Regions from separate parts of the Mus musculus genome. Here regions 1, 2 and 3 are each reported to be linked to region 4. The links are microRNA targets in miRTarBase. Many come from high-throughput screens and were not tested one by one. Region 4 holds a microRNA gene; each other region holds the end of a gene's coding sequence.

Region 1 (7,124 bases), not on the chromosome of region 4:
CTCTGGGGCCTCTGCCTGGGGCACGGTCACTGTCCAGTCCCTGCTGCTGTTCAGGAATCCGGAGTGCTACCCTGCAGGCCACAGAGGGCTGGAGAGATGTTTAATCCAGATCAGAGCCTCTGGAATTTCGCAGAAAAGAGCCATGGAAAAGTTCAAGCAAGCATTCCTCAGCCATTACTTTAGTTTGGACTCAGTATAGCAGGGGTGTGAGCTTTAAGCTTATAAAATAGGAGTGTGTCTCAGGGCCATCCCAGGTGTCTAGGCCAGTCTCCCTCCAATAGTTTGTTATGAACAAGAGCTAAAGCGTTCCGGAAGAACTCGGGAACATTCTAGACTGTCACTCCACTCAAGCCCTGAAAAGGGTATCAATTAGGATGAGGAGAGAGAGAGAGAGAGAGAGAGAGAGAGAGAGAGAGAGAGAGAGAGAGAGAGAGAGAGAGAGAGAGAGAGAGAGAGAGAGGAGAGAGAGAGAGAGAGAATACTCCTTTTATTTGGGGCTAATTAGGGTTGCTATCTGGGAAAACAGATTTACGAAATCCTTAGAACTGGATTCTGGGCTGGTGCGGTAGCTCAGTGGATAAAGGTGCTTGCCACTAAGCCGGAAGACCCGAGCTTACCCTGGAACCCACATGGTGAACTAAAGAACCGAGCCCTGAAAGTCATTCTCTGGTCTCCACATGTGCTCAGGTGGGACATAAAAAGCATAGAGAACAGAAGGGTTATGCTTCACAACAGAGCTGTCTTTGAAATCACTCAAAAAGATGATTTGTAACTGGGCATGTAATCCCGGCACTAAGGAGGCAGAGGCAGGTGGATCTCTATGAGTTTGAGGCCAGCTTGGTCTACAAAGTGAGATCTAGAATAGCCAGGGCTATTCGGAGAAATCCTGTCTCAAAACAACCACAACACCTTGGGGGAAAAAAGTTATATTTGAAACCAAATAAATGAAGAAGTAGGGACGTTGTTTGATGGGAAAGAATGAGGTGGGGGTTTTTGTTTGTTTTTAAAGAGTTACTTATTTTATGTATATGAATACATTGTTGCTGTCTTCAGACACACCAGAAGAGGGCCTCAGATCCCATTACAGATGGTTGTGAGCCACTATGTAGTTGCTGGGAACTCAGGCCCTCTGAAGAGCAGTTAGTGCTCTTAACCACCGAGCCATCTCTCCAACCCTGAAAGAATGCGTTTTTTATGGCCCCTGAGACGCTCCCAGGAAATGGAGTGAAGTTTCTAAGGAACCAAGGAAAAGAGAGGAAGATAAAGTAGTAGAGGCTCAGGGAGGCAGAAAAAGCTGATCAGATAACCCAGTGCCAGATGAAACCCAGACAAAATTGTCCCCAGCTTTATTGTGAAAGCCTTCTTAGAGTCCCATGGGGGCACAAAGTTGGGATGTTGGGAAAAGGAACGTGGCCTGAAGCAGACCTGGCCATCTGCGTTGCCTCAGCTCCCAGGGAATCCAGAGTGCAGACCCTACTTTGAGAAAAAGGATAGAGTGGCCAAGGATCCTTTCTCTCAGTGCCTGCCTCAGCAGACAAAAGCCCCTCCCTTCCAACTGGAGCCAGAGTCCTACTTGACTCCCTAAGCCTTGAAGACAGAATAAAGATTCTAGCTGTGCACCCTATGAGTGGTAAGTGCCAACGGTTATGAGAGTTCAATAAACATTGTCATTGACAACAGCAGGCAAGCAGTGGTGACAATGGCCACAGCAGGACCTTCCAAATAAACTTCCCTTTACTGAAGCCAAGGAGTGGCCAGAGACCGGCAGCAATAGTGAGAAGAGGGGGAGGAGCCAAGCTGGTTACTGCATGTCAGTCCAAAGAAAGGTCCCTGTCCCTGCTTTACTTTCACATCAGCAGGAAGCTTGAGCCCCAGGACACACAGGACACAGGGCACAGATGGAACTTTGACTATTATACACCTCACACACACCTCACACCACCTCACACACACATCACACCACCTCACACCACCTCACACCACCTCACCACCTCACACACACCTCACATGCACCTCACATCACCTCACATGCACCTCACACACACCTCACATGCACCTCACACCACCTCACACACACCTCACATGCACCTCACACACACCTCACACCACCTCACAGGCAATAGAACTAGGGCCTTCTCTCCAAAGTTAAGGCAGGTGGCACTCCCAGAGAAGGGGCATCCCAACTGAAACAGGAATTGAGCTGTAAATTTGGTCTTGGAGCACTCGTGTATACTTGGATGTGCACATGTGTGAGCGAGGGATCCACTGAGTACAGAAACTCAGCTACTACACAGCAACAGGTGGCTTAGCACCAGAGCACAGCTGGTCGAGGAAGATGAGGCTAAGGAGACAAATCAGAGGGAAACTACCGGGGTCCAGCCTCAACACAGCATCTGGATTCTCAACTGGAAGCAGGGATATCTGGAGGGCTCGTATGAAAACATTCAGACAACTTTTCGGGTACGAGCTGACAGACAAATTTCAAGGCCTGAGGTTGCACTCTATCTATCTATCTATCTATCTATCTATCTATCTATCTATCTATCTATCTATCTATTTATCTGAGGTTGCACACTTTTGCTTCCTCCTCAGGCTAGAGGGTGTGCTCTCTCTTTCACTCCCTTTCTTGCACTCCCATACTACCACACACACTTCATACCACCTCACACACACCTCAAACACACCTCACACCACCTTACACCACCTTACACACACCTCAAACACTCCTCACACCAACTCACACCACCTTACACACACCTCACATGCACCTCACACCACTTCACACATACTACACACCAACTCACATACACCTCACACCACCTCACATACACCTTATACTACCTCACACACACCTCATACCACCTCACACACCTCACACCACCTCACATGCACCTCACACCACCTCACATACACTTCACACCACCTCACACCACCTCACATACACCTCACACCACCTCACACACACCTCACATGCACCTCACACCACCTCACACACACCTCACATGCACCTCACACCACCTCACACATACCTCACACCACCTCACAAGCACCTCACATCACACCACACACACCTCACATGCGTTCTCTTTCACTCACTCACACACACGCACTCTCCCTCCCTTTTAACTTGTCCCAGTCTTTTATTGTTACTCCATAAAGCAGGTAGAAAAAAAGACACACACTGTATAATCATTACCAAACCAAAATTCAAAAGAATGACCACATCTCACAAAGAATTAAGAATTACGGTTGTTCCACAAAGTTTCAATTTTCCCCTATTCCCAGGCCTGTGGAAATAATAATTGCAAACTTATCATTTAAACTTTAACTTTTGACTTACTTTTCTTCAGAGCTCCGAGCTCTGAGGTCAGCTACATACGGTTTCCTGTGAAGCTCTAATGAAAAATGACATGGGCAAAGGTGCCAGGCAGTGGCCAGAAAGAGTCAAGTTAACCCTTTACTTGGCAGTTCTGCTAGCTTCTGCCTCTGCACATTGCACACAATGACTCTCCTAAGAGTCCCAGTGTTTTAACTTAGTTCTACTAGAATAGAATTTTATGCATTCTATATCTTCTTTCAGGAGTCTAATCTTTACTTGCATATCCATGCATATCCAAAGGAGATGAGGAACCACTCTCAAATGTGTGCAAAACTCATTTCATAACTTCAATAGCTTCTCCCTTTCTGAATTAAAGTATCCTGTGTGTGATGGTTTGTATATCCTTGGACCAGGGAGTGGCACCATCTGGAGGTGTGGCCTTGTTGGAATAGGTGTGACCTGGTTGGAAGGGGTGTGTCACTGTGGGTGTGGGTATAAGATCCTCACCCTAGTTGCCTGGAAGTCAGTCTTCCACTGGCAGCCTTTGGATGAAGACATAGAACTCTCAGCTCCTCCTGTGCCATGCCTGCCTGGATACTGCCATGCTCCCACCTTGATGATAATGGACTGAACCTCTGAACCTGTAAGCCAGCCCCAATTAAATGTTGGTTTTTATAAGACTTGCCTTGGTCATGGTGTCTGTTCACAGCAGTAAAACACTACGTAAGACACTGTGTTTGTGTTTTCTTATTCCATTTATCCCATGATTGTGTCTTTTTTGTTTGTTTGTTTGTTTGTTTCCGAGACAGGGTTTCTCTGTGTAGCCCTGGCTGTCCTGGAACTCACTCTGTAGACCAGGCTGGCCTTGAGCTCAGAAATCCACCTGCCTCTGCCTCCCAAGTGCTGGAATTAAAGGCGTGCACCACCACTGCCTGGCTAGTGTGTCTCTTATACTAATGATTTTCATGGTTCCAGTAAATTCTTTCACTTTCTGGTAATGGACCCTGTATGACTCTATAGTGTGTGGCTCTACTTCACTTTCTTAATTTCTAAACATAATTTCTTCAAACTTTCTTTGCAAATCAAGCATTAATCTGGAGCTACCATTGTGCAGTTACTACATTGTTTCCAAGATGAGAGCACACAGCATGCACCTGGGCCACTAGGAATGGCTGTGCTGTGCCCCATGCCTCAGTTTTTAATTATTTAAGAATCATTACATCAAGAAACATCTAGTTTCATAGAATTCACCAGAGCAGATGGAGAAAGAAATAGGAAAGTCAAGTATAATAGAATAATTATGCACCCCAATGCCAACTAAAAAGCACTCACACACAAGTGAGATCTATGCAGCCCTTGTCCAGGGCTAAGGGTCAGGAGAAATGGGAACACTTTTTTATAAATAAGCTGTCGCAGGCTTCTAGGATGTCTCCATCCAGGCCTGCTGTGAGCAGTTCCTTATTTCTGATGGTGGGTCTCCTGGAGGGATGTGTCTCCTGTTTCTCAGGGTCCCAGATGCCATCCATGTCATGGTATGCTGTCCCCAGCAGGAAACAGCCTGACCAGGATGGATCTCCTCTTTACAGTTTGGAATTCTACTTATTCTCAATATTTGGAAGGTCCCAAGTGGATCAGGAGAGATGGGAAAGAGAGGGATCTATGTAGATCATCAGATGCAGGAATCCAGGCTAGATCCACCCCCACTTTATTGGCTCATCCCATGTGAAGGAATAGGTACTAACTGGCCCACCATAGATGGGAATATATACCCACATATACAATGTATGCAATTGTCCATTTACCCAGCCCCATCTAAATTACCCACTTGTCTCCTGAGAACGGGAAGACAACATTTGCACAGTGTGGCAGCTGTATATATGAAGCAGAAAACGTGGTTTGGGTAAAGCAATGTGCCCAGCCATCAGGATGGGTCATCTTGGTACAAATCTCATGAGCCTCAGTATGGAAGCCTGATGACCTCTGAGGAGGGCGGAGGGGCTAGGATGGAGAGAAGAACCAGAACACAGGCTCAGTGACACAGGCTGGCGACCCACATAGCTGCTGTTTATTCTCCACATCACTGAGTCCGGGGGTTTGGAGTGGGTCAGAGCTGGGCCACTCTGTGGAAGTGTGAGCAGCTGTAGTTCTGCATCAGTGTAAGGACAGCTGGTTCCTCAGCCCACAGCTCTGTGGTGAAGCTCTGAATGCTTGGGTTCTTTCCAGAGGTCCTTCTGTGGTGGGGGTGGGGGTGCGCCTTCTGATGAAGCTGCTGCCTGGCTCTCTACACCCCAATATAATATGAACTCTGTTCTCTCCTGCACAGGACCCCCAAGCACTCAGAGAGAGAGAGAGAGATACTGCCCCATCTTCTCTGGGAAGGAGAAGTGGAAAACAGAAAGTGTTTAAAGTCTTCCCTCTCCCTCAGCATACTCTGACTTAAGGTCCTCCATCACACCACCACAGTCCTCTGACTCTCATGTGATCAGCCCCCAACCCTTCCCCCAGCCTGCCGCCGCCGGTCCAGAGCCAGCTGGAGGGCATGCCTGATAGTCTCCTTGTTGTTCAAGACGTTGTATCGGCTCAGGGTCACCAGCCGATCAAATTCCTTGGGCTCGTAGGTGAAATCCATCATGCCATAGGCAGTATCTGGCCCGTTGATGATAAAGTCCCCGAAGGCCTTCTCCTCAGCTGTTTGTCGTTCCACACCTGGGAGTGGGAAAAGCAAGACTAGGCTGGAGTACTCTGTGAAACTGACTGGGGGCTAGCTGATAGCCCTGGACACTTTCCTGCACAGGTGATCTGGCTTGCTCCCTCAGAGAGGCCATCTTAACTCTCAGGCCCATTAGAAAGAGATGGCTCATTGTGGACACAGAGGTCCAGGCAGCGGAGATTAGTCCAGGCCTCCAGGCAATGCTCTCAGACTAGCATCCCATCTTCCCCTGGAGGCTAGAGCAGGCTTGTGACTTCCCCTTACCTGGGGCCAGGTGCGTGCGAAAGGTCCTGTTGACAAGAGGGAAATGCAGCACGATGGGCGAGCAGGGGTCCTCTGCCTCAGCAAACAGATAGCATTCACGGGGGTCTTCAGAGTCCTTGGGGTCCACCTCAATCCTTGGGAAGGGGATCCCTCGGTCCCGGCAGTACTTCTCTGTCACCTGCAGGACCTGGACAGAGAGGTAAGCTTATGATCCCCAACTGGACTGCGGCACACTCAGGCTTCATACTAGCTCTGTATAGCCGAGTGACTTTCTGAGACACCTTTCTATTTGCCAAATAAAGGTGGTATGGTGGTGTGAATAAAAATGGCCTTCACAGGCCAATAGGGTGTGGCACTATTAGGAGGTGTGGCCTTGTTGGAGTGGGTGTGGCCTTGTTGGAGGAAGTGTATCTCATTCTCTTCCTGCTTGCAGCCTGCAGATCCGGATATAGAATTCTCAGCTACCTCTCCAGCACTGTGTCTGCCTGCAGGCCGCTATGCTTCCTGCCATGAGAATGACGGACTAAAGCTCTAAAACTGTAAGCCAGCCCCAGTTAGCAGGCCGCTATGCTTCCTGCCATGAGAATGACGGACTAAAGCTCTAAAACTGTAAGCCAGCCCCAGTTAGATGTTTCTCTTTAGAAGAGCTGCTGTGGTCACGGTCTCTTCACAGCAATAGAAACCCTAACTAAGACAGTTGGAAGTAAGTGTCTAGTGAGAGCATAGTGAATTAGCAATAATTAGCAAAAGCCAACCATCAAGCTAGTCTTTCATTCCTGCCCCTAATATGGCCGTCCCTTCTCCAACGCCTCCTCGTTCCCTGTTAAGGGG
Region 2 (7,124 bases), not on the chromosome of region 4:
TTGAGTTAAGGGAGCTGTAAGGCTGCTGGGAGAACTAGATCAATTGGATGAGAACAGTTTCTTTCAGAAAGATACACCAATGTGGAAACTGCTGCAAGGTTCTAGCATCAAATTGCCTGTTGGGACCTCCCTGGATAGAAAGGGCTCTGTACTGCCGGGCAGGCCACTTGTGCCAGCAGCTTCCCCGTGCTTCTGTCTCTGTTGAACCTTTCTGTGCCACCAGAGAGAGCTCAGGCAAACTGACTGTCCACAAGGAAACAAGTAGACCTGGGAAGAGTCTACATGCTTGCTTATCTCATCAGCCTCAAACCACCCACTGGAACAGGCACACCACCACAGTTCCTAAAACCTGTCCCACAGCCTTCCGACTTAGCCATGCCCCGAGTAGCCATGCTCTTGATTGTGACAATATGGCAGCCTAGTAGGTTAGACAGTTGGGGATATAATCATTGGTCTGTTTCTGAAACACATGAATTACTGGTGGGAAAGGCCCAACTGCAGTTCGACCTCCACTGTGTGCTTAGCTGGAAGACCATGTGCACGGCTTAGCAGTCTGTCTTCTGTGACACTGCACACCTCTTACCTCACTTCTGTAAATAAGGTTGTGAATCTGTTTTGTAATGTGAAAAATTCATAAGATAACATTGATATTTTGATTTGTAATATTTCTAATTGGTAGATTTAATTGAAAAGTAAAATTAATTTATTTTTATATGTTCAGGGGAATTTTAAAGAAAGTCAAACCTTTTGTAGATAATTTAAAAGAATCAGTGTGGTTTATTTTATATATGTAACCCACTGGTTGTTATTCTGTAACAATTTGTATAAATGGTAAATTTTTGAATGTGCTGTTATTTTACTTAGATGTAAAATTCCACATGTATTAAAATGTACAAAGTTTTTGTTAATAAAATTTAATGATGTTTATAGCTCTGTGCCCTGCCTTCTTTGTTGGAAACGCGGCTGTCCTGAGCTCTTGTGCGCAGTTCCGTGGGGAGCTTGTCTTGTAGCTGTCCGATTTCTCAGGGGTGGGCTGTGCAGGAGAGCATGGAGCCACCCAGCTGTGTCCAGAGATGGCAGTGATTACTGAGCAGCGTGGGTGGTGTCCACAGTAAGAAGGGAACTGGCTCTATAGGAGGATTTGTTCATAGCACACTTGATTAAAAACTAAATTCTATTGTTCACATATTTAGAGTAAATGAGAGGCATTCTCTAAAACACAAATACTTATGTGTTCAGTGATCCTTGGATCACAGATTCACCATAGTTTTTACCCCAGAGTACAGAGATGCATGGTATTTCTTCTTGGTAATTAAGAGTTGAGTGAACATGGAAAAAAACCTAACCCTTGGCTCCTAACTGTATTTTGTTTTGATAGGGGCCATGTATCCTGGATAGCCTTGGACTCGACGTAGGTAGCTAAGGCTGCCCTTGAACTTCCTGTTAAAGCTTGGGCAGTAGGATGTCAGGTTTGTGCTGTCACCTAGGGCTCCCTGCAATGAGTCTCTGGTTGAGCTTCATCTCCAGCCCTAAGTCCCCAGCTTTATTACAGATTGAATTAGGTTTGTAGGAAGAGACAAAGAAATGAACTTTAGAAAGTTTTTTCTGTTGGCCAGATGTGTTGATGACACCTGCATCCCAAACAGCAAAGGGGCTGGTCTCCGGCCCACAGTTCCAGTACTTCTTATGCTGAGATCTGTTTCATCAAGTTGTTGCTCCAACAAAACAAAGGAAGGGACAACCCTCAGCTCTGTGGACAGGTTCGGGACTAGGAGCAGAGGGCTTAGGATGAGCGCCCCTTTGCTGTTGCTGTGTGGTTCATAGTTCTGATCAAACCCACAGGAGAGTGCTACAGTTGGGTATGGTGGCTTATACCTGTAATCTCTGCACTTGGGAGGTAGAGCAAGGAGGTTCAGGAATTCAAGGTTATTCAAATTCAAGGTCAACCTGTAAACCAGTCTCAGAAATCAGTATCAGAAAACGAACCAGCCACCCCTGTTAACCCTCTTTCTGTCCAAATTAAAGCAAGCCTTTAAAAGGAAACATTTCTGTAACACTGGAACTAGGATCCTGGGCCTTGGAGGGGTTAGCTACTACTTTACCACTGAGCTATGTCCAGCCTTTCTCAATGTTAGCAGCAAAGTGAAGGACACCTAGCGCCCTATCACCAAAGAGGAAGCCCTCTTTTTTATTCTCCCCAGTCTTTATGCTATACACACACACACATATCCCATGTAAAACATTTTCCATTACATTCCTATAGTTAAAATATTATACATACACAGAGTTTTGACCTACTTTTGTTACTTTATTAAAGTGGCACATATGAAAGAGTTTAGATTTTAGGAGCTGAACTTTATATAGTTCCTTAAGTTCCTGGTGAACCTTTGCAGCTTCCACCATGTCGACCTGTCTGGCAAAGCAAGGGGTTGTTGGGGAGCCGGAGGGTGGGACCTGTACAACACTGGAGTCTGATAGGAGAGCAGAAAAGAGCTTTGAACATGTGTGCAGCTAAGCTGCTGTCAGCAGCTGCACAGGGCAAGAGGCAAAGCATGGGCCCCAGGGCTGGCTGATGGGGACAGCAGTGAGGGAAAGAGAGGCAGAGCCAGACATGCTGTTTTCTAGATCGAGGGCCCCAGGAGATTTGTTATCCAGTTACTTCTCACCAGCCTTCTTCGTGCTGCAAACTTGGAATAGCATGAAGTGGCCTGAAGGGGGTTTTCTGGGCTGGGCCACACAACCTGACTCATCTGATTTCCTCAAAACTGCTCTGTAAGACATGGTGACTCCTGGCAAGCATGTATTGCTTTTCTTTCCTTGGTTGCTGCCACAAGAGCAAGCTTCCTCTAGACTTGACATAGCCAGACTCTGTTTTCCCTGTTTCACAGATTAGTGAGGCAATGGTTTAGTCACACAAGGCCATGTAAGCATTGCACAGTAATTATCTGAGGCAGGTAATACCTGTTGACTTTTTTTTGTAGTGCTGTCTGGGATAGTTTCCTGGATAGAGCCAGTGTGGAACTTGAGATTTGTTGGGGTTGAGACCCTTTCCACTACAGCAAACCAGCTACCCTGTTCTTCAGGGCCCCTCACCTGCCCATGCCCTTCCCAGGCCCCAGGATAGGTGAAAACCTGGGTGTGGTGCTGAATAGCTGTCATCCCAGAACTCAAACCATAGGAGGATCTGGTCATCTTTAGCTACAGAGTGAGCTCCAGACCAGCCATGCTGTGGCCTCAGTGAGCTGTCTCCCATAAGTCTCTAGCATTTAAATACTTGGCCTTTAAACAGTCTTGGCTGTTTGGGGAAGACTAGGAGGTGGAAGCCCTATGTGTTGCTTGGCTCACTGCACCAGTATCACATAGCATGATCACAGAACAGAAGTAAGATGTCATAGTACAGAGGGACAAGAGGTAGCAAAGATAGGACCCATGTTAGGACTGGGGATTGGGGCTGATGTGAAGAATTCAGGGGAACACGTGGACATGTTCTGGCATAGAAAAGCAAGTTCGGGTCCCTTAGGGATACTGACCCCCAGTGGCTCTGCTCAGTACCAATCAGTGGCAACTTTGAATACACCGCTTGTTCTCTCTCCCCCTCTTCTCCTGCTCCCCCTCCCCCTTGTATTAGTTGCTTGTCTGTTGCTGTTACAAAACACCATGACCAAAGCAACTTATAAAAGGGTTTATCTGGGGCCTATGGTTCCAGAGTATGAGTCCCTGGTGGCTAGATGGAGGTGGCAGTAGCAGTTCATGGGATGAGTGGCCTACAGGAGCCACAAGCAGCAAAGCTGACTTTGAAATGGCTTTTGGAACAAAGCCAGGTATTCAAATGCTAGCAACTTACGGGAGACATCTCATGAAGACCACCACAGCATGGCTGGCCTGGAACTCACTCTGTATCTAAAGGTGACCTGATTCTCCCACGGTTTGAGTTCTGGGAGGACAGCCATGCAGCACCACACCCAGGTTTATAGGGTGCTGGGGATAGACTCTCAGGGCTTCATGAATGCTGGGAAGTACTCTACTAGTTGAGAGAGTTCCGTCCCAGAATGTGGGGCATTTACTTCTATTCCCATGAAAGAATGTGATCAAAAGAGGACTCATACTGATTTTCAGGATCAGAAAATGCTATGGGTGCAGTACTTGGGTGGACAGTGATGCGAGCAAGTTGGATGTGAGGAGAGGTTCAGGAAACGGATAACGAGCTGAAAAGTAAGTAGTAAGTGGGAGGCCATGTCTGACACCCTTAACGACAGTCCACAGGTACTTACGGGACAGGGCCTCTCTAGAAAACCACTCTTTAACAACATGCATAGTGGCTAAAAGCAGAAGCAGCTCTGCTGGAAGTTGGAGGCTGAAGCCAGAGTGCATCTTTGCCAGGCCTGTTCTTCAATGAGAGGAAGAAGACCATTGGCTTCCTAGGGACTTTGTGTGTGGTTATGCCCATGATAATAGGTCAAATTGCCACCACCTTCAGGAGGCCAGCTGGGTCTGCTTGACAGACTTGGACTCACATCTTGGAAAGGAGGGGTTGGGGAGGGAGTCATGGAACAGTTATGTGAGTAGCCAGGCAACCCCCACTATCCAGCTGTATGCAATTCTGTTCTAATTGCATGTGCTTTAGGGTCTCTGGAAGGTGTTAGACTCTGTAGGTAGGAAGGATTAGGGAAGCTGGCTCCCTCAATGAAGCCTTGGGAAGACACCATCCCTTCCGGCTGCAGACCTTCCAGTGTGGCTGCTTTAAGGTCACCTCTGCTCCAACCCATAAGCCCTCATCCACTGTAAGTAACCCTATATAAACTATATAAGGTTAGCCTGCATGGACTTTGGAGTTGTTGGTTTGTCTTTGAGACCTTAGGCGAAGGGGCAGACATTGAGTTTTGGCAACAGCTCATCACACTGAGAGGCCTTACCTGCTAACAGTAACATACTGGGTACTGAGGTGTCATTGTGTAGAACTGGGCATGACCACAAACAGCACACTGTAGCCAGTGGAGCACATCTCTTGCTTGGCAGCAGTTTGAAGTTTCCTTCTAAAGTTTCAAACAAGGGGCTGGACTGAAGTTCAATTTCCATCACCTACATACATGGTGACTTACAGCCATCCATACAACAGATCTATGGGATCCAATGTCGTCTTCTGGTACACAGACATACACAAAAGCAAAGCATTCTCTCCAAAACACAACAAAACTGAAGAACAAGCCCAAAGCGTTTTCAAGTTTCAAACAAAAGCAAGAAATTCTTTAAAAATTTTAGATCCATGTATTCATGTGCATGTGTCTATGTGGGCTCGGATGTGTGTGCTGTACCACAATATGAATGCAGAGGTCAGAGGACAGCTCCTGTGAACATGTGCTTGCTGGAGAGTGAGTGCAGACTGGCAGGCTTAGCAGTCAGCGGTTTTATCCACTGAACCACCTTCCAGGCTTAAATTTCTCATTTGACAATCAAACTTATTTGCTTTATCTCAAATTCCACCTGGTGCACCTGTTTTTCCCTCCTTCGCTGGCCAACAGAGGACCTCATATTTTTGGCACCACACTCTCCCCTGGAAACACAAGGAAGGCCTGTAAATGGCACCTTACAGCATCTATAATTGATTCATTCTTTCTTTCTTTTTTTCTTTCTTTCTCCCCCCCCTCTCTTTTTCTTTCTTTCTTTCTTCCTTTCTTTTTTTTACTAAGGCACATGATGTTTAGAAATACTGAGGTACAAAATATAAGTTTCTGCATGAGATTTCTCGAGTACTTGTTTGGAAAATGATGGTCATTGATCGTCACCTTCCAGAAGATTCAGCTTTTAGCCTGCTTTTTCTTTTGGACCAGTTCAACCAGCAGCTTGTATCTAGCAATGCAGTCTTCCTGTGGGAAATAAAGAAAGAGGTGGTGACAGTTCTTTCTTGGGTCAGTGCTCCTGGTGCTGTCAGCTCGCTGTGACCTCTCTGCGAGTTACTGCCCAGTCCTAATGAAGAAGCCTGTGTTCATTTCCTTTACAATCTTCTGGGAAAGCCTAGTTGGTCCCAGGCAGACCTGGTCAGAGAAGATCTGCTGCAGGAATAGCTGAGGGTTGCCTATGGAGTGCAGTGTGGCGTCCCCACTCAGCTTGCTAACCCTTCTACCATGGGAACTCCCTCTCATCACATCCCAGTCCAGAGAATCCAAGAAACCTGGGGCTACAATGCTCTCATGCTTTGCTCGTGCTTCTCCCTGGTGGCTGCTGGGACCTTCCTATGCAGCACAGAACTAGCATGGACGGTACCTCATGGAGTGGGAAAGGTGGAGAAGATGGAAGGAAGTGGCCGCTATTTTCAGGTGGGCATGATATATATTTTAGAATCTATTCTCTTCCTGTCTAGATGATACCAACCCTATGGTACTGTAAGCATGTTAGTTCAGGGTCCAGGGCAAATGACTGCTGTGCTAAACAGTGTCCTTAATCAGGTACCCGGGACAGGATGGGTGCATCAGTGTAGGATGAGCATCTTGTGGTGAGTGCCTCCCTACATTCCACCATCACCCACCCATGCCTTCAAAGTATTAGCACAGAAACAGCCATGGCCACTCAGCATTCAGCCCTCAACAGGACAGTGTGGGTAGTGCTGAAGGCTGAGCAGGCAGGAGGCAGTGTCTCCTGACAGAACCTGAGCTCCCTCCAAGGCAGCTGACACCAGATGGTCAGTGGGCATCCCTCCCGCGCCTGTGGGGTTAGGTTGCAGTCAAAGCTAAGGGATACTTGTGGGCCATGGAAGCCCTGCTCCTCTCTGGGGCAAACAAGAAGGTTCTGCTCCTCTCTGCTGCTTTAATTTTGAGCAAAATTCAATTTATTACACATGTAAATGGCTGAGTCTGACAGAAGTTAGAGAAACTCAGTGAAATAATTACTTTCGGCAAACCAGCTGTAGAGATTGGAAGAATTTGTGCTTAAAGAGATTAATTGCTAATGGCTTATTTTTCTCTCCAGAAACTCAGTTTCATCAACGTAAAGTAGGTAGACCTGTGCACTCAGGGATATGCATGGCCACAAGCTAGGCTTTCCAACATAGAATTTCAATTAAGGAATTCAATGTGCCCAGAGGCTGCTTTTGATTTCTGTGTGCTCCGGGTGCCTCACACTTGGAACAC
Region 3 (7,124 bases), not on the chromosome of region 4:
AAAACCAGAAGCCTGGAAAGCAACCACTGGCTATATAATTAAATTACTGCCATTACAACACTACATCCCAATTTGGGAATGAGGCAAAACTCTTCCATCAAAAAGGAGTATGAGTTATCAGTAACAGGGGGTTATGAACTTAGGTTACATCAACTGTAACATCTCACTTCACAGAGCTTTGAAGCACTGCTTTCATAGTTCAGAACAGACCAGACCAGACTACTTTCTGTCAAGTTACGATGCCTGCGTCACACTACCCAAAAGTTGTGGCTTCCTCCACCCAATGCCCAAGAATGGATTGTTCTGTCCTGCTAGCCACTCACATCTGAGATCTGATAACAAAGAGTAATTGCTATTTGTGCATGCCCATGATAGTTAATGTGTTCTTTTATACTCACAGCTAAATAACTGCTTTGAAAATAGTTTATAATTCTTAACCACAGGGAACAGGAGATGCCAATCAAATATAATGCTCTTGATACTGTCACTAATTTCCTATTCACTGCTGCTCTATTACCACACCTTATTCTCATTTCCTTTTAGGAAATAAATACCCTGAAAGCAGATAACGATGCTCTGAAGATCCAACTGAAGTACGCACAGAAGAAAATAGAATCCCTGCAGCTTGGGAAAAGCAATCATGTCTTAGCCCAGATGGACCACGGTGATAGTGCTTAATCCAGAATTTCAAGGACCAGAATCTGCAGGAGGGTATACTGGGATCTCACTTCAAAACTCATTGCAGACGTTCAGCACCTTTAGATTGACTGACTTTAAAAGGGTAGAGCTGGCCACTACTGTTGACATCCTTGGTTTTTACCTAAACGGTTTTTAATGTGAGTCGTTGGTTTTCAGTCAGTTGAATCAAAGGGAAGAAAAGCTCAAGCATGCAAAGTCTGAGCATTCCTATTCTAACCTTCTTTCTTTACTGAAACCAATACCAAACATGCGCTAAAATAAGTCTAGAGTTTCCTGAGGGTGTCCCAGGCAGCCCGCTTTACTGATTCATACTTAGATAAAGAGTCCCTGGTGAATCCATTTGCTGCCTTCCGCAAACTGACTTACTTTGTTCTACCCAAACCCCGCTCATAACGGAAACAATAGCCTAAGCGTGGTGACTTTGACATGCCTGCATTGTTTGTGAAACTGATCCCTACAGTGTTCGCTACCTCAGACCTCATCAAGAGCCTCTTTCCCCACTGTCCTTCACTTGCCCGCCTCCTTCCTCCCTTGCTTATAGGCACATCAGCACATCTACCTAGAAGTGAACTCCTAGCGATGTAGCCTGGTTTTAAATCCAGAGCTTCTTAATTGAACTTGACATTGTCTAATTGCAGGCCAACTTATAGCTCTAGGTCTTAGTCATTATGAAATACAAAATAAAACTCACTCACTACCCACAAACAGCAATTACCATGGCATACACACAGCTAAATAGCTAAGTCAAACCACAATAACACGTTTATCCAGATAGTCTTTCTATAGTGGGTAGAATTAAGAATCTGTGACTTTTTAAAAGAAATGGTCTGTGAACAGTGTTTAATTCTTCATGTTCTAGTCTCTCTCTCTCTCTCTCTCTCAAGTAATCTATCATAAGGTTCTCTTTTGAACTGAATTTGTGCTTAAGTTGTCTTCACTTTTATTATCTACAAATAAGCTAATGGGTGTGACGGCTTTCATAGCTGGCAGTATTTACATGTGTGTAGAATGTATATATATAGTATCAGACATGCATGGAGCTTGGACCTTCTCCCTTAGAAAATGCAGACGTGAATCAAACACCTTTTAGTCACTTACACAAATTTGCAAGTATAGTTCTGCTCATTATAAGGCAAACTGCTAACAATGTAAATTGTTCTGCTTAACAAAACCGTGAGTAACAGTGTCCCAGTATTCTTTCGTGAAGGTTAAAATCAGTGGGTTTGTCTTGTTGCCTGTGAAGCAATTCACAAACTCTCTTGTCAGCTTCCTTTTAGCTTTCAAAAAACATCTCATCTGATTGTGTCCTTTTGAGGAGACTGTTTCCATGCTAGGAAGGTCTGGCACCACACTAACTTGTAATTTAATATGCAAGACAAGCAATTTAAGAGTCTCATCGAACTAAATAAGTTCCAAACCTAGCTGGGCAATGGGGACACATGCCTTTAATCCCAGCACTCGGTGGGTAGAGGCAGGCTGATCTCTGTGAGTTTGAGGCCAGCCTGGTCTACAGAATGAGTTCCAGGACAGCAAGGGATATGCTGAGAAACTCTGTCTGGAAAAATCAAAGGAAAAAGTGTTTAAAAGTTTCAACCCTACGACCAAGAGCATAAAGTCTACAGAGGAATATGAACTGTACATGGTGCTGCCCCCTAAAGGACTCAAATCATTTAAGATATTCCTTTGATGAAAGACCACTGCCTGTTTGCACACCTCTTTGGAGCATTTCAGTGACAAAGAGCTGGCTTGTGGTGAGTGTCTCTCTAAACTTTAATGAACTACTTTACACACAGTTATCCTTCTTCTACATCCCATCTCAGAAACGTGAAAAGCATAGCACCTGGTACTACGCCTCTGGCAGGTGTCTATATTATGTGGAAACTTTTATGGAGTGATAGGACTAATGGAAGACCTCAAAATTTGTATTTTCACTCTGTTATGCACTAGTACAAGTGTAGAGCTTGATTCTTTAGACAATGCCTTTTTCTTATTTCTCATCCCCAATAAAGATCTCCCAGTGAGATTTTGTGTAAATAATCTGTAATATAGGAATTCAGAGGGCCTCAGTCATTTATCACAGCTAGATGACCTTACAGACAGCAGAAAGGACAGGAAAGATAGTGGGAGACAGTAGTTTTCCTCACAAATTCTTACATTCCAGCCAAGACAAAGGATGTGTGAAGTCTGAGTTGGTACTGTTCCTGCAGAATGGTAGGAGCAGGTGGGATCTCCTGATACAATCTGGAACAAAGTTTGGCCTGTCACATGAGGTTTTGTTTACCAGGCTGTCTTGAAATGTCTGGGCAGATGGGTGTCTGCCAAAGCAAGGACTGATCCTGTCTGTGAACAGCAATGTCTCTGCTCTTCTTCTCTGTGGAGTGACTCACCCATTTACTGACCACTTGTGAAATTGTCTAAAGATGTATACTGTAAAAGCTTCGAAAGAACTGTACAAACTGTAAGATATTTTATACCTATTTTATGTTTTCTGTGTCTCATATTTATATCATAAAAACATTGGATCCCTATAACTTCAAAGTCGTGTGCTTCTTCACTTTATACATATGTAGGCATTTTGTTAAACTTTTTACTGGAATTCAAACCAAAAATGCTCCTCCAGTCTATTAAAAAGGGTTTTCTGGGGGGGGACCCCTAGCTTATTTGGGTTAAAATGTTCTTCCTTTTTTACAGGATGAGGAAGTAACAATGCAGATATGTCCACCTTATAATGACCTCTCTGAACATCAAGTCTGTCAAAGGCTCAACACCAATTAAAGGGGCCAAAGCTATCATCTCCTGTGGCTCTTATCTTAATGCCACAGTTCTAGCTAAGAAAACCAGTAAGGAAAGAAGACAAAGTAGACAGAAAGACGGTTCAGTCTCGTGTCCCGATCCACTCAGCAATTCATCTGTGGTCACTCTTTGGAGTGATCAGAGGCACCATTTGTTCTCCCTATCCAGATTTTGATGATGGGACCCATGCAGAGGAGGATGCCAGCCACTCACACATTGCACATTGTGGTACATTTGGGTTGGGGGATGGGGTGTATCTCCATAATTAATGTTATTTTAGGTGAAATAACGAAGTCATTCTGACAAGCTGACCCTGAACAGAAGGTGAAAGTGCTTCTTGCCCACCCTCATTCCCAGCTCACAGATCTCACCACAAGCTCTTCGTTACAGAGTGGATAAACCAGATATCACTCACTATGTGTTTTGGCTACAAAGCCTCACGGTTTGCCACAAGTCCTGGTAAATGAGAAACACCTAGTTCCCTCTGATGTCAGTTCATGGGGTTGGATGGTACTGAGCTCGCTCAGCCCAGGGGAAAAACTCAGTTGCTACTTTAATTTGGAAATTTCTAGTCCGATTTTGTCCACAGATGCTCATAGGTGGATAAAGACATAGAAAAGGGGGAAGACAGTAAGTATAAGAAAATAGGAGGAAAAAAACCCCATGAAATTAAAAATAGAATCAACATGCAAAAAGGTATCAGGCTTCAGGGAACTGTGAAATGCCATCCATCACAAATGTCCATGTGCCCTACCTAATCCATTTATAATGTTCTTGTGTGATGAACCATAAAAGCCCTAAGTCGCCCTACTGCCAGACCAGGCATCACATAGCAAGCAGTGTGCAAACACATTTTGAGCAAATCTTCTTGCTGCAATGAAGTTCACAGGCTGGGTATACAGAACTGGCTCCACTCCACTGTAATTCCAGAAGTGCTCAACTGGGGAAAGACTTTCCAGTAGTTGTTGGGGAAAACCCCAACAGCACTCATAAAAGGGACAAAACAAACAAACAAACACAAAGCTCAACAGAAATAAACTAATGTCACTGCCATATTTACATAAATCTTTAGGGCTGAACAGTTAAAAGAGCAGAGCAGATATTGTACTACAGGCCAATAATCCCAGCATTCAGGAGGCTGAGGCAGGACGATGCCAAGTTTGAGAGCCAAGTTTTAAGAACACCCTAGACTGCACGGCAAGAGCCTGTCATAAATAAAAGTAAAAAGTAGCTGTAAATTGTCCTTTACTGTTAGCAAGCAATGCTTATAAAATGGAAGAAATGCAAAATTTTTCAACAAACTTTTTTTGCCTACTATATAAATGTAACTTTTATTTCCACAGATAAAGGGATGAGATGAGAGTTGTACCCGAGCTGTACAAACGCTCAGCTTAGGCAGAGCCCAGAGCATTTTTTCCTCTGTTCTAACTATCCCTAGGCCTAAGCCTGGAAGCTTCTAGCCTCCTTACAATCTAATCCTCCAAGATGACTGATTCAAACTGGCTTTTCTTGGCTTCCAACTGAATTGCTGTGCTTGGCCTCAAACTAACTCTGACAATCTCTTTCTCTCATTCTCTGGCTCATTCGGCAACCTTTCTCTATAAAACTGTCCTGGTAAAACTACTTTTTGGAGTTTAATGAAAATGAAGCCACAACATACCCAAACTTATGGGACACAATGAAAGCATTTCTAAGAAGAAAACTCATAGCTCTGAGTGCCTCCAAAATTAAACTAGAGAGAGCATACATTAGCAGCTTGACAACACACCTAAAAGCTCTAGAACAAAAGGAAGCAAATTCACCCAAGAGGAGTAGACTGCAGGAAATAATCAAACTCAGGGGTGAAATCAACGAAGTGGAAACAAGAACTATTCAAAGAATCAACCAAAGGAGGAGTTGGTTCTTTGAGAAAATCAACAAGATTCCTTAGCCAGACATACTAGAGGGCACAGGAAAAGCATTCTAATTAACAAAATTAGAAATGAAAAGGGAGACATAACAACAGATCCTGAAGAAATCCAAAACACCATCAGATCCTTCTACAAAAGGCTATACTCAAAAAAAGTGGAGAACCTGGATGAAATGAACAAGTTTCTAGACAGATACCAGGTACCAAAGTTAAATCAAGATCAGGTTAATGATCTAAACAGTCCTATATCCCCTAAAGAAATAGAAGCAGTCATTAATGGTCTCCCAACCAAAAAAAGCCCAGGACCAGATGGGTTTAGTGCAGAGTTCTATCAGACCTTCAAAGAAGATCTAATCCCGGTTCTTCACAAACTATTCCACAAAATATAAACAGAAGGTACTCTACCCAACTCACTCTATGAAGCCACAATTACTCTGATACCTAAACCACAAAAAGACCCAACAAAGATAGAGAACTTCAGACCAATTTCCCTTATGAATATCGATGCAAAAATCTTCAATAAAGTTCTCGCTAACCGAATCCAAGAATCCATCAAAATAATCATCCATCCTGACGAAGTAGGTTTCATCCCAGGGATGCAGGGATGGTTTAATATACGGAAATCCATCAATGTAATCCAGTATATAAACAAACTCAAAGACAAAAACCACATGATCATCTCATTAGATGCTGAGAAAGCATTTGACAAAATCCAACACCCATTCATGATAAAAGTCTTGGAAAGATGAGGAATTCAAGGCCTATACCTAAACATGATAAAAGCAATCTACAGCAAACCAGTAGCCAACATCAAAGTAAATGGTGAGAAGCTGGAAGCAATCCCACTAAAATCAGGGACTAGACAAGGCTGCCCACTTTCTCCCTACCTATTCAACATAGTACTTGAAGTCCTAGCCAGAGCAATTCGACAACAAAAGGAGATCAAGGGGATACAAATTGGAAAAGAGGAAGTCAAAATATCACTTTTTGCAGATGATATGTTAGTATATATATATATATATATGTGTGTGTGTGTGTGTGTGTGTGTGTGTGTGTGTGTGACCCTAAAAATTCCACCAGAGAACTCCTAAACCTGATAAACAGCTTCGGTGAAGTAGCTGGATATAAAATTAACTCAAACAAGTCAATGGCCTTTCTCTACACAAAGAATAAACAGGCTGAGAAAGAAATTAGGGAAACAACACCCTTTTCAATAGTCACAAATAATATAAAATACCTTGGCGTGACTCTAAGGAAGTGAAAGATCTGTATGATAAGAACTTCAAGTCTCTGAAGAAAGAAATTATAGAAGATCTCAGAAGATGGAAAGAACTCCCATGCTCATGGATTGGCAGGATCAATATAGTAAAAATGGCTATCTTGCCAAAAGCAATCTACAGATTCAACGAAATCCCCATCAAAATTCCAATTCAATTCTTCAACGAATTAGAAAGGGCAATCTGCAAATTCATCTGGAATAACAAAAAACCTAGGATAGCAAAAACTCTTCTCAAGGATAAAAGAACCTCTGGTGGAATCACCATGCCTGACCTAAAGCTTTACTACAGAGCAATTGTGATAAAAACTGCATGGTACTGGAATAGGGACAGACAAGTAGACCAATGGAATAGAATTGAAGACCCAGAAATGAACCCACACACCTATGGTCACTTGATCTTTGACAAGGGAGCAAAAACAATCCAGTGGAAAAAAGACAGCATCT
Region 4 (7,124 bases):
TAATGAAGATTTCATTTGTGTACTCACCTTATGAATATATACAAGTATGTAAGCATAAAAGTGCAAAACATTTAGTTTATTCTTCATATGAATTAATAAAATGAATTTAATTTTACAGATACAGTGTTGGCAATCATCTACGCAAACTACAGGTCACTGTATCTACCATATATTGTTCTTATATGGATATTTAAAACAGAGTTGTGATACTCATTTCTTCCCTACTCCCTCACTTATCCTAGAATCTTACCTTGCTCCACAGTTAAACAATGCCCCCCCCCATTAGTCTCCTTTCCTCTTCCATACCACCTGTGTTTTGTTACCCTTTTAGTAAGCTTTTCTCACAACTCTCTACCCAGTGGCCTTTTTCTATTTTTATGGGTTCTGTAGTTATTCCTTGCTGAACACACAAATCTAATAATTATTTTAATACTTGCATGTTACAGGAGGAAGAAAAATAACTTCAACGAGAAATTCTAACTTATATAAGTGAAATTACAGTCCCCCGTATTGTCTTGGTAGAGAATACCATTAATTGAAACAGAAGACACATCAGAGGATATTCTCTTGGAGGAATTTTTGGTGACAATTTGTAGATTGTGTGTGTGTGTGTACATATATGTATATATATTATACACAAAGTATGTCAAGTTTTAGCAACAATGTACAATTGGTACTTTGCTAAAAGATAAAGAGGATCATGGAAGCTACATTTGCAACATTTTTATATTAAAGGTATGATGTACCCTGCTTTACCTAATTTGTTGTCCATCATGTAAAACATAAATGATGATAGACACCATATAAGGTAGAGGAAGGTTCACTATGTTCATCACCTGGAACATCATTGTGGTATAGAAGCATTAACCCTTGTTAGAGCTTGCTGGCCTTAATTTGGCATTTGTATCTAAAGGACCAAAGTTTAGTAAGGTGCATTTATTCTTTTTTTTCCCATTTTTTATTAGGTATTTAGCTCATTTACATTTCCAATGCTATACCAAAAGTCCCCCATACCCACCCATCCCCACTCCCCTACCCACCCACTCCCCCTTTTTGGCCCTGGCGTTCCCCTGTACTGGGGCATATAAAGTTTGCAAGTCCAATGGGCCTCTCTTTCCAGTGATGGCTGACTAGGCCATCTTTTGATACATATGCAGCTAGAGTCAAGAGCTCCGGGGTACTGGTTAGTTCATAATGTTGTTCCACCTATAGGGTTGCAGATCCCTTTAGCTCCTTGGGTACTTTCTCTAGCTCCTCCATTGGGAGCCCTGTGATCCATCCATTAGCTGACTGTGAGCATCCACTTCTGTGTTTGCTAGGCCCTGGCATAGTCTCACAAGAGACAGCTACATCTGGGTCCTTTCAATAAAATCTTGCTAGTGTATGCAATGGTGTCAGCGTTTGGATGCTGATTATGGGGTGGATCCCTGGATATGGCAGTCTCTACATGGTCCATCCTTTCATCTCAGCTCCAAACTTTGTCTCTGTAACTCCTTCCATGGGTGTTTTGTTCCCAATTCTAAGGAGGGGCATAGTGTCCACACTTCAGTCTTCATTCTTCTTGAGTTTCATGTGTCATTCTTCTTGAGTTTCATGTGGCATTTATTCTTTAATGTTAACCTTGCAGACACATCAAGATTTATAAACATTCAGATACAACAATCATTACATGTTTTTAAATTACAGATTTAGTTCAGTATATTTTTAAATTATAATTTAATTATAATATTTATACCTCTTATTTTTCCCTCCAAACACTTTCATATTTCCCTCCCTGCTCTCCCTCAAATTGATGATGTTTGTCAATAATTGTTACTGAATGTATTGATGTATTTTTATATAGCTATTTATTCCTAAATATATTCTGCTAAGTCTGTATAGTGTTACTTGTTTGTATGTTTTCAGGATGAATGTTTTGCACTAGACAACCAAATGGAATGTTCTTCCATGAGTGCTGGGAGTTAGGAGACATCTCCCAATACTGGCTTTTCTAGTTGTGTATAGTTCTTTGTGTAGGATTGAGGAATCATGAGCTTTTCCTGGTTTAATCTCAATTTTGACAGCCATTCGTGCAAATAACTGCTCATAATAACTAGATGGAAATATGTGGGAAAGAATACTATAGAATTATTTCATAAGGACATATAAATACAATTAAGGTTTATATTTTATGCTGTAGGGTGAATTGATAAATTTTGAGTGATAATTAAGAGTTTTAAGCGGGACTTCACATTTTTGGTTTATTTTTAACCTTAAGTTAATCTAGTTTTATAGTATTTATAAGTAGAATATAATTTTCCAATTAACAGAAATAAATGTGTGTTTACCTCTAAGTGGAAGAAAACTTTACTCATTTATTGTGGCTTCGTGAATATGAAAATGGTATTCCAAAACTTAAAGTTTTGGGGCTTCTGGGATTTTAGATGGCCATTTGATCTTGTAGGAAATATTATTCTTTTATATGATAATATTTTACTATCATTTGGTTCACAAATAATTTTGAGACTATATGAATGGAGGGTATTAAGTTAGGAAATAAATAAAATAAATAAATAAGTAAATAAAAATTAGGTAATTTATGTACGCATGTCTTTCCCACCATGGTGTTAGAATATGATATAGGAAAAAAAAAAGAATATGATATAGGCTAGGTTGCAAGATTGACAAGGTAAAAGTATGTTTTACTATCCTTAGTATTTAGAAATAATAAATATATGTTTCATGCATAGTTGTAATGGTAACTGTTTCTCTGATTTTTGCTTTTTCTTTAACTTTCATTTTGATGAGTTTTGTGTTATTGCTAGTTCATTTTTTTTAAATCAAGGGAAAGATGTTTGGGGTTGATGAGTGAGGTGGTAGGGCAGATCTGAGAATAGGTGAAAGCATGATCAGAATATATTGTAAGGGAAAAACATTTTTAGTAAGTAAAACGTGCTGGATGTATTAATTTGAATAAAAAAACTGAATATTAGCTGTAGTGAAAACTATTTATAGAAATGGTGACATAAGATGATACTATGTGAAAGAAAATCATGATATAGTAGAATTGGTAGGTATTCTCTAAGATTTACTACTAAATGAGGTAAGAATGCAAGAATTGTGGAGTTATGATTTCTAATTGAAGGTGACAGACTAGCTTTCTATCAGAAGTATATAAAATGTCTCATGTGCATTGATCTACGTAGATTGGTACCTATCATGTAAATCATGTAAGCATGAGAGATGCCATTCTATGTAGATTAAGGCTCATAACATTCTTCTTTTTTTGTGGCCTTGGAAGATCATTGCAGTGTTAAGTATAATGCTTCCCGATCTTTGTTAAGATCTTGTGCCTTCAGAAACTATATCCTCTAAGGAGGACTTAATTTAAACCTTCAGAACACATTTAGATATGTTAATACAAATATGGACATTGATAATTTTATTCTTAATCTGAAAAAATAAAATGAATATAGTCTTATATTTGTTTTATCAGACTTTCAGATAAGCAAGAGGGCATGGCATCCAGGCATAATAAGAAGATTCTTTATAAGCTTCTTGTTTGCTGCTTTATGCTGTGATGCTGATGGTGACTTGATTTAAATGAGAACAGTTTCATTCTACATGTACTGTAAGTTTCATCCTGTATGTCGCATATAATGATGTTTATGTTCATTTTAGATGCTCTTTAGTGAACTTTGAGGTTTGCTGCTACTCGAATTCTCACAATAGACATTAAGAATATTAGCATTTGTATTTTCTCTTTTGAAATTTTAAGTTTTTGAATTAAAATATAATTCTGACTCACTTTCCTTCCCACCCTCCACTCTCCCATATGGCCCCCTTTCTCTCTCTCTCTCTCTCTCTCTCTCTCTCTCTCTCTCTCTCTCTCTGTGTGTGTGTGTGTGTGTGTGTGTGTGTGTACACGTGTGCACATAAATATGTGAGTATGTATATAATATGGTAGACTACTTGGTATTAAATAACTAATTTGCTGGCTTATCCCTGTGAAAAGCTACTTTTTCCACTCAGCATTGCTTAAGTGTTTGCAGATTAGTTTTACATGCATGCATACATACATACATACATACATACATACATACATACATACATACATACTGCATACATTTATTTATTTGTCTAGGGGTTATGGCTCAAGAAACCAAATGAGTTTGATCACCTCTAGGTAGTAATGGTATAATGACTAACTATTGCTCTCAGCTTGACTGATTTTTTGGAATCAGCTAATAGATGAGCCACAGGCAACAGGGTCAGATTATTTCAAATGAGAAGAGCCACCCTAAATAACAGACAGTGCCTCCAATAGCATCCTACCTAGATAAAAGTGATAGAATAGAAAAAGTTGTTGGTTTTATTTTTTTTTTTTTTACTTTGTGAGATTATTATATAATTATATCCTGTTCTTCCCTACAAACTTTCCATATTCCTTCTTGCTCTTTCCAAATTTACAGTGTCCTTTTTCATTAATTGTTACAAACTATTCCCTCTGCTATATGTAACCCCTCTGGCTAAAGAGGTTATAGTTTGGTTATCATTATTCACTGGCTAATATCCACGTAGAAGTAAATGCTTACCATATGTTTCTATCTGGGTCTTTTTAAAACTCTCATAGGATGATTATTTTTCTAGCTCCATCTATTTCCCAGCAAGTCTCATGATGTCATTCTTAACAGGTAATACGTCATTGTTTAAATGTACCACAGGCTTTTTATTCAGTTTGAGGGACACTTAAAAAATTGGATTGTTTTCAATTTTTGGCTATTATGAATAGATCGGCAATGAGCAGGGTTAAGCATTTGTCCTTGTGGTAGGATGAAGATCCTTTAGGTATATGCCCAAAAGAAGTATAGCTGGATCTTAAGATATATCAGTTCCCAACTTTCTGAGGAACCACCATATTTTCTATTTTTGATGTACAAGTTTGCAGTCCCATTAGCAATGGAGGAGTGTTTCCTTTGCCCCACATCTTCTCTATCACGTTGTCACATGTTGATATTTAGCCATTTTGACAGGTGTAAAATGGAATATCAAAGTAGTTTTTATTTGAATTTTCCTGATGGCTAAAGATTTTGCACATTTATTTATTTTGGTGTTTCTCATTCATTTGAGTTTCTGTTATTGTGAATTTTCTGTTTAGACCTATACCCTATTTTTAATTGGATTTTTATATGTAATTTTAAATTCCTTATATATCTTGCATATTAGTCTTCTGTCAGATAATGCAGTTTGTAAAAATCTTTTCTTATTCTCTAGGCTGCCACTGGGGTGGAGAGATGACTCAGAGGTTAAGAATTTGGCATCACTTCAGAGTTATAAAAAATACATGGATTTTCAGGTATTGTGCTGTGATAGATGATAGATGATGTGATAGATGTCACAGAAATTGCTAAGTAATGAAAAATGTATACATTTAAGATACTGAAAATAAAAATTTAAATGTACAAGTTTATTTTTTCTCCTTGTTTCTGTGTCTCTGAGTTAATGTAAGCCTCCCCCACTGCAGTTTGTAGATACAACTTTTTGGTGATGTCATTGTAGGTACATTACCCCTAAACTCAGGTGCTTTGGTCCTAAGAGTGCTTAGTCAGATACTTTATGAGAGATGCTCTATCACTCAGTATTACCCTAGCATGAATACTTTTCCATTAGAGGAATAAAAAGAAATAGAGGACATGAGAGAACTTGTTCATACAAGAAAATATGGTACAAATCTTATTCTCTTCTTTGGCAATCCTTATTCCCTTTAAGAAAAGCGTCAGCTCTCATTTTTGAGAAATGCAAAGAGAAATTAAACAGTTTGGATAGCATGATCTTCATAACTCTTAATAGTTTAGGTATTGTCGTAAATTGGCAATTTGATAAAATTTGAGAGGGATAATGAAGCTTTTGCTAAGTTATTGCTAAAATTGGTTAAATAACATTTTGGAGTTAGTCTCATGCTGAATACTGGGACTACATTTGACTAGGTTCTCTCTGGGTTATTAAAATTCATCATGTTTCTCACTTGATTTATAGTCTTAAATAGCAGTGACTTTTCACTTCAAGTAACATTGAGGTCACTTTTATATTAGTAGGTGAGTTAGGGTTACTTGATATATTTTGTATTGTCAATTTACCTTGCAAATGTACATAGATGAAGAAGCACAAAAGAATGAGCTCCTCCTACATGGGATCTAAATAAAACCATGTAGAAGAAGGGAAAAGGGAAAAGGTAGTATAATTTCCTTTCCTGAGAATATTAAAGAAATTTACTAGTATTATATCATGTTACTATGGGAGAATTCATACATGTCTTCATACATGTCTTTGGGGATTATGGAAATTATCTGAGAAATGCTTTCTTTACATAAAAAGTTGTGGAATGAGTTGGAAATGACTAACATGCTTAAAGTATATTCTTTGAAAACAAATTTTTAAATAAAAACTTAAAGAATAAAAACAGAAAGAACTTTCAGTGACTCCATAATCTGAAAAAGAAAATGGCAACAAGCTTACTCAAAGCGGTTTGTTGACACAAAATGAATGTGAGAGGGATCCCTTTGAACATGTATGGTAAAAGGTATTGTCTACTATATTCACTAAGACTTGTGAATATGTTAGGTCATGTTGCAAGTCCCCTATACTTGAACATATATGTTGAAAGCTCAAGATGAAGTTAAGTTTCTTATGGGCTGTATTTTATTCACCTTGGTGTTTATCAAGTGAATGACTATGAAAACCACCATGGTGGTTAAAGTAAAGTTCATAATGTTCTTCATATTGGTTAGAATATGTAACAGCAGTTATCCTTCACATGCCTTTCTGAGACATGTTGGAAATAAGTGCCTCCAGAAAGTGTATTCCCAGGTAGGCCTTAATTTTATAATGGTCACATCGTAAGTGCAACACTTCATTCTACAAGTCCTATATTCTGCATTATTCAGAAGTCACTCTTCCATGTCTAGCATGCTCCAAATACAATTTTGCAGGCGTACCATGTAGACTTTGTGGTGTACATGTACACAAACCAACAGTATGTTACTTTATGATAGAATGCTCTGTAGTCACTGTCATAGCAGACATATTTAAGATGTGTTCATGACATAATCTTTATTTTTAATTTGTGGGTTACAGGCAAAAAGTAT

Evidence for each region. Region 4 holds the annotated microRNA mmu-miR-741-3p (UGAGAGAUGCCAUUCUAUGUAGA, at 3,217-3,239, shown strand). A microRNA usually pairs through its seed, bases 2 to 8, with sites in the 3' UTR of a target mRNA and lowers its output. Matches are read on the target gene's strand: a 7mer-m8 pairs with bases 2 to 8, a 7mer-A1 pairs with bases 2 to 7 and ends in A, and an 8mer does both.
Region 1: the mRNA of Pla2g4f is a reported target of mmu-miR-741-3p. Seed matches in the 3' UTR shown: 7mer-m8 at 5,669-5,675.
Region 2: the mRNA of Dnajc1 is a reported target of mmu-miR-741-3p. Seed matches in the 3' UTR shown: 7mer-A1 at 4,030-4,036.
Region 3: miRTarBase lists Rasgrp1 as a target of mmu-miR-741-3p. Seed matches in the 3' UTR shown: 7mer-A1 at 1,575-1,581.

The regions. Positions count from the first base shown.
Region 1 is chr2:120,294,604-120,301,727 of GRCm38, forward strand. It overlaps Pla2g4f (phospholipase A2, group IVF), which reads right to left. Exons shown (of 20, transcript NM_001363073.1): 19 at 6,294-6,480; 20 at 5,363-6,025. The coding sequence ends at 5,802. Among named protein-coding and RNA genes, the nearest start is that of Pla2g4d, 9.1 kb to the left of the region's middle.
Region 2 is chr2:18,211,462-18,218,585 of GRCm38, forward strand. Dnajc1 (DnaJ heat shock protein family (Hsp40) member C1) reads right to left here. Exons shown (of 12, transcript NM_007869.3): 12 at 2,288-5,864. The coding sequence ends at 5,796. It overlaps Mllt10 (myeloid/lymphoid or mixed-lineage leukemia; translocated to, 10), which reads left to right. Exons shown (of 23, transcript NM_001252560.1): 23 at 1-929. Among named protein-coding and RNA genes, the nearest start is that of Gm39761, 18 kb to the left of the region's middle.
Region 3 is chr2:117,276,096-117,283,219 of GRCm38, reverse strand. Rasgrp1 (RAS guanyl releasing protein 1) reads left to right here. Exons shown (of 17, transcript NM_011246.3): 17 at 544-3,237. The coding sequence ends at 678. Among named protein-coding and RNA genes, the nearest start is that of Fam98b, 30 kb to the right of the region's middle.
Region 4 is chrX:66,792,924-66,800,047 of GRCm38, reverse strand. It overlaps Mir741 (microRNA 741), which reads left to right and starts at 3,173; the gene lies at 3,173-3,243. It overlaps Mir463 (microRNA 463), which reads left to right and starts at 751; the gene lies at 751-825.